Cricetulus griseus: one gene and its partner. The protein of the gene in region 2 purifies or fractionates together with the protein of the main gene of each other region. This does not show direct contact. Links are inferred from orthologs where the notes say so. Each region holds a gene or a part of one and is shown on either strand. Other genes may lie near its edges. The genes, in order: Fbxl3 and Cry1.

Region 1 (3,829 bases), on a different chromosome or scaffold from region 2:
TCCTCGAACTCCCAGAGATCCGCCTGCTGGGATTAAAGGTGTGTGCCACCAATGCCCAGCAAGAACCCTGTATCTTAAGGTCACCGTTTTACAAACAGGAACATCTGACAGTCTTGTCATTTACCCAAAGCCATACAACTAGTGAGAAGGGGAGCAGAGACTCAAACTCAGGAAGCTTGGTCTTAGAGCTTCTAGTCCCATTGGCTACGAGAGCAGATCATCTTTTCAAGAAGCAAATGGAATGAAGTGTGTAATGTAGAAAACACATGGAAGTGTTATTCAGGAAAAAAGGAAAAGACAGGGAGAGCAGAGTGACAATAATGAGTTGAGGGAAGAAACCACATTCCAGCTGAAACAGTGCAGTCAAGGTGGATTGCCTTAATTATTTAATCTGTTTTATGCTGTTCCAGGTTGAGCACAGGCCTGGAGTGGTTCGGGCAAGGTCTTTAACATTGGGTTATGCTCTAGCCCAAGTTTGGACATATGCAGCCGTACTGGCACTTGTCACAGCTATTTATTCAGTGTAGATCTGTTGACTACTTACCTTTCTTTCATCCTCTCTAGAGGTTCATAGGCACCTTGATCGACTTGACATTTAAGAACTCAAATATAGTTATCCTTGGGTGACTGACGAAATTGGAAAGTATCACTATAGGCTCTTTTCTAGTCACTTTCAGTATTGAGTACAACTCTTGAATCATATATCTGTGGTTTTCTTAGGTCATAAGTAGTGGTTGAAATCACCTCTCTCTATTTTTATATTCTCCTTGAATCATTGATTCAGTTCTGTGTGTATTTCTGTTAACTCTCCAAATGCAAATAGGTCTCAGTGACAGAAAATGAATTTGTGATTAAAAGCTAAGTAGGATGGGAAAAATGACGGATTTTTCTAAATAGGATGAAACGAGGAGGAAGAGATAGTGACCTTGACTCACCTGAAGAAGGCACTGCAGAGAAACGTAAGAAACTGAGGACTGCACATGAGTGTTCTCAACCTTGTGATTGGGGTAATCTGCTGCAGGACATTATTCTCCAGGTGTTTAAGTACTTGCCTCTGCTTGATCGGGCTCATGCTTCCCAAGTGTGCCGGAATTGGAATCAGGTGTTTCACATGCCTGACTTGTGGAGATGTTTTGAATTTGAGCTGAATCAGCCAGCTACATCTTACTTGAAAGCTACACATCCAGAGCTGATCAAACAGATTATTAAAAGGCATTCAAACCATCTGCAGTATGTCAGCTTCAAGGTAATACTTTAACTCCTTCTGTTAAAAATAAAGCATTTTTAGAGGCTTTAATGTTCTAACCAATACAACTTCTTATGTCTATAAAATATTTGACTCTATAGGGAAAGTGCTTAAAGTTTTGAAATTATTGCACACCTTAGAAGCCATTGCAAACATTTTTTAATATTCGATAGAACTAAAATACTCCTTTACAATTAATTACTTAAAAGAACAAAAGCAGTCACTAAGTGAGCATGAATTGACTGAAGTTTTAAGTTAACAGCGAATGGTTAACAACAAATTTGAGGAAAGAGCAATGTATCATTAACATTAAGGCAGTGGTTCTCAGTCTCTGGGTTTTGACCTCTTTGGGGGGGGGGTCATATCAGATATCCTGCTTATCGATACATACATTACAACTCATAACAGTATCAAAGTTACAGTTATGAAATAGCAATGAAATAATTTTATGGTTTGAGGTCACCACAACATGAGACAGTATTACAAAAGTTAGGAACCACTACATTGGGGAATGATTACTGAGCAGAACTTACTTGGCTATTTTATCTGCTTTTGTTTCATTTTGTTTTTCAAGACAGGGTCTCTTGGTGTAGCTCTGGCTGTCCTAGAACTCACTCTGTAGACCAGACTGGCCTCGAACTCTGAGATCTACCTGCCTCTGCCTTCGGAGTGCTGGGATTAAAGGCATTCGCCACCACCACCCAGCAAGTGTTTCTTATTTTGATATGTTTTCATTTTAAAAAAGAAAAAAAAAAAGCCCTAAATCTAAAGATGGTATAGAATCGAACTTTTCAACTTGAGTGTATTTTAGAGGGAAACGGAAGAGGGGGATTGCTTCATTTCAGTGTTACAAGGGGCGAGTAAGAGCACGTGTAATGGTGAGATGAGAGAGAGCATGTGTCATGCTGAGATGAGTGAAGGAAGGTGGTATTTGGAGATTTGAAGAGTGTTATATGAAATCATAGGAGCTTGTGTGAGAACAAGGGTTTATCATGTTGTATTTTGGGATGCTCACTGAATCCTTGATACTAAATTTTTCTTTAACAATTAGCGTTAAAAGATGAAAATGTGCCGGGCATGGTGACTCTCACATGTAACTTTAGGACTGGGGAGGCTGAGGCAAGAGAATCAACTATTTGAGGCCTCCCTGGGCTGTATATAGTAAGGCCTTCTCTCTTAAAAATGTTAAAAACAGCCGGGTAGTGGTGGCACACACCTTTAAGCCCAGCACTTGGGAGGCGGAGGCAGGCAGATCTCCATGAATTTGAGGTCAGCCTGGTCTACAAAGTGAATTCCAGGACAGCTAGGACTGTTATACAGAGAAACCCTGTCTTGAAAAACAAACAAACAAAAAAACGTTAAAAACAAAACCCAAAAAAGTAAAAGCATAGAATTGCCTGTCATTGCCTGACTTGCCTTTGTTTCCTGTTTGCTAAAGGAATTGGGTTAAATCTGTAGTAAGCAGTGGTCTTCACCTAGACCTTTATGCTGTTACTAAATACTATCTGTCTTCTGGTAAGATAGGAGAACTTGTAATAGAAGTGATTTGAGTAGATTGTAAAAGGTCCTTCTGTATAGTAGGCTGCCTGGGTCCTTGGTGTTTAGTCCTTATAGTCACTTACAGTCCAGTGATAGAGCTCAGGTACATCCAACTTATGGAACTCATTTGTACTTAAATTACTTTTTGTCAGGGATGTATTTTGCCATTTCTGATTTAGAAAGCAGGGACACAGCAGGGATTATTCTGGCCTCTCCTGATAATAGTTAAGTGGTCACTGTAAACTCAAGAAAACTTTAAGCCAAAACAGTGCTCCTCAGACTGTGCTCAGTAGCCTCACCAAGGCGGGTGTAAAGGCAGAGCTTGCGCCTCCCACTCACCGACTTTATAATTCAGATGGTTTGGTTTAGGATAAGAATTTGCTTGTATCCAGTATCCAGATCATTGTCATGTGGTTTGGGAACCTCATTTTGAGAGCTGTGATTAGTGCATTGTTTGCCCACATGATAGCAACTTAAGAGCTCCTTTGGCATGCAATAAAACACACATTTACTTGGGAATGAAAGTTACGGTATTTAACATTTGTAGTCTAGAGATAAACTAACTTTTACCCTTCAGGTGTGGGTGTTTGATTGTATTGTCCTTTACTTCGGGGAACTAAGCAGCAACCTCTATTTTGGTTCAGTTTATTTTGTGCTTGTTTAATTGGACACTCTTACTTTTCTCTAATGCATCTTTCAATTCAGAACACTGAGCAATGTCAGGTTATGTGGTTCATCTGAAAATTCTAAATGACATTAGTGTCTTCAGGTGTCCTGAAACGTAGACACTATTTACATGTGTTGTTTGATTTACTCAAGTACCAATTACCACCTAAAGATGAAATTGATTCATTTTGTACAGTTACTTGAAATAAATCAACTTAGTCTTTTAGCACTGAATAAGTAAATATATATAGGGATTATAATGAACTCTTGTGAAAATTAGACTCAGGTTATGTGGAGAGATGATTAAAGATGAATGTCCTTTAAATGATAATGCACTGATAACTAACTACCTTTCTTGCTTTTATAAAATTAAGATAT
Region 2 (2,874 bases):
ATTAGTATAAATGAGGTGACTTTAGTATGAAGGTGCCTAATGGAACCCAGTAGGGAGGGTGACTGGGAGCAGCAGCTAGCCTGTACAACCCAGGGAGCCAGGCTAACATTGATTGGTTGGGCTGTATGCCTTGCAGTACAAATGAATACTTTACATACTATTCTTACTTCCATTTTAAGATGGTAAGATGAAGACAGAAAGGCAAGGTCATGCCCAATATCTCAAAGCTAACAACTGAGAGAAGACAGGCTTTGACTTTGGAACCCATGCTCTTAACTGATGACTCACGCAGCCTAACTTGCAGCAATAAAACCATTAAGTGATACAAACAAATGAGACTCTTTCAGATAACTCTGAAAAATTCCATTTTGCTAGATAAAACCTATTCTTTCATTCAAAATGGTGACATGTGGTTTCTAGTATTTGTCTCTGTAATTTGCATCACATCTCACACAATTCTCTTATCCCAAACAAACAAGATGAAAAAATGAACACCAAGTACACAAGATTCCATATTTGCATAAACTTTAATAACAAAGTCACTTCAGCTATAAATGAACAAAAAATGGGGAGACAAAGAGAACCGAGCACAGCCCAGCAGTGTGAGTGGGAGCAGCTGTACACGCAGCTTTACCAGGCACTGTCCACGCTAACAGAGGCATCGCCTACTCATTGATTCCAGGTGTTTTCTAAAGTGTTACTATCAAACACTGCAGAATTGGTTAAACAATGATGTCAAGAAAAATGTGTCCTAAAATTTTAACAAAGTCTTTTAAGAAAGTCTAAAAACTTCCCATTTTCCTGCAATGACTCTCAAAACTTGAGTTTTATATCAGAATATCTGTTAACTTTAACTTTTACCATACATGAAAAATTATCAAAAATATACTGATGAGTCTATACTAACTGTGACTATATTTACATTAAGCAAACCTTTTGCCAAGTTCTTTATATACAAATTAGCACTTGTCCTATGTGATATTCATTAAAAAGTTAAAAACCACAGAAATGTTATTAGAAATAATATGTTCAAAATCTGTTTTCTGTGAATGAAGGACATTTTTAATAATTTAAATGAAGAGTCCTGACTGGCTCACCAACTTCAGCTGCACCAGAACTCCTCCTTCGTGTTTCCTGTGATTTAAAGGAAAAACCAATGAAAACTTGGCTGTAAGGAGTTAAATAATAAAAAACTGATACGCATTTACTGATTTTAACTTCAAGAAATTCATAATTAGGTGACATAAAAAACTAGGTGATAATGTAAACAGTTTCCAATAACCAAAAATATGAAAAATAATCTTTAAAAACTGGCAAAAGTAGGCCACCAGAGAGACGGCTCAGAAGTTAAGAACACTGGCTGCTCTTCTAGATGTCCTCAGTTCAATTCCCAGCAACAACATGGTGGCTCATAACCATCTGCAATAAAATCTGGTGCCCTCTTCTGGCCTGCAGGGATATGTGCAGGCAGAATACTGCATACATAATAAATAAATAAATAAATAAATAAATAAATAAATAAATAAGCTGGCAAAAGTAGCTAGTAAATACTTTCCTTATTAGGTCACAAAATAGTATCACAAATTCAATTAAATTGGATGTAGACACAATTTCTGATACTTCTAAAAAGGCCCAGCATTGCTTAAAAATTAATGACTTAGGTTTTGGAAGCAGCACAGCAGAGAAGATAATGCATGACCTGAGCATATGGTACGTTTGTGCAATCCTAGCCTTCAGGAAAATGACACAGAAGGACCACTGCAAGTATGAGGCTAGCCTGGACCACTGCAAGTATGACACTAGCCTGTGTATGAGTTCAAGGGTAGCCTGCACTATACAGAGACCATGTCTCAAACCCCTTCTCTCCTTAATTATCAATACTTAAGTAAAGGTTTGAGGTGAAGGTTTTAGAGGAATTATATTAAAGTTTTTGAAATTAGGAGGCTCCTTTGTTTTAGGCTCACAGTCATATCTTATGAAAACCTTGTCTTCCTCAAAACCAAAGCTTTTCAGGGTGAAAGACTGGATTCAGGGAGCATGGTTCTGGGTGCAGTGTTCTGCCCAATACAGGAGCGTCTCTCCTGTTCATTCATGAACAGGGTCTATGACAACTGCTTATATGCCAGAGAATAGAACAGTCCTCATTAGTTATTTCAGGTTAGTTCTATACTAAAGCAGGAGAGAAAACCTAAGTATTTACCATGTCAGTTACTGCTCTGCCGCTGGACTTTGGGATCAACACTCCGTGTCTCCTCTTCCTGACTGGGGCGCTTCCCGCTGCTGAGGCTGGTGCCCATGGAGCTTCTTCCTACACATTTACAAATGCACGTGTGAGGTGGGGCCAGGAGGGGGCGCAGTGATCTTGAGTGCTTGCTTCCCCTTACCTTGCTTTAGCAGGTGAGCTTGCTGACTGTCTCCATGAGCATAATGTAAAATACCACTTCCTTGAGAGCAACCTGTATTTCAAACAAAAGAAAATGACTTAAAAACTTAAGATGTATACATTAGGACTATAAAACCTGTTTTTTTTATAAGTATTTGTATTTAACTTTTCTTAATCTTAACTCTGAGCCAAAGATCACAATCTCAAAATCAAGAAAACTTTAAGTTCAGGCTGACCAGTGACAGACAAGGCAAAACCACTGGTTGTATTTCATTTCTATTTTGTGTGTAGTCTTTACATGTATGTATTTTTGTGTGTATGCACATGTCATGTATGTGTTCGTATGTGTGGAGACCAGAGGTTTTTAGATGTCTTGCTCTACTGCTCTCCACCTTAATTTTTCAGACAGCATCTCACACTGAGCACATAGCTCACCAACTGTCTAGACTAGATGGCCAGTGGGTTTTGGGGGGCCACGAGTTTCCTGTCTG

The links.
Region 1: the proteins of Cry1 (region 2) and Fbxl3 purify together in Homo sapiens (affinity purification with mass spectrometry; 4 studies listed by BioGRID and IntAct, counting the BioPlex papers as one, with this or other methods). This does not show direct contact. The link is inferred for Cricetulus griseus from reciprocal best matches to the Homo sapiens genes CRY1 and FBXL3.

Annotation. Positions count from the first base shown.
Region 1 is NW_023276807.1:254,746,421-254,750,249, reverse strand, and holds part of Fbxl3 (F-box/LRR-repeat protein 3), read left to right. Parts: intron 1-897; 5' UTR 898-898; coding exon 899-1,246; intron 1,247-3,829. UniProt on the Homo sapiens protein: Substrate-recognition component of the SCF(FBXL3) E3 ubiquitin ligase complex involved in circadian rhythm function. Plays a key role in the maintenance of both the speed and the robustness of the circadian clock oscillation.
Region 2 is NW_023276806.1:150,311,824-150,314,697, reverse strand, and holds the end of Cry1 (cryptochrome-1), read right to left. Parts: intron 2,457-2,874; coding exon 2,385-2,456; intron 2,309-2,384; coding exon 2,205-2,308; 3' UTR 2,201-2,204; intron 1,135-2,200; 3' UTR 509-1,134; downstream 1-508.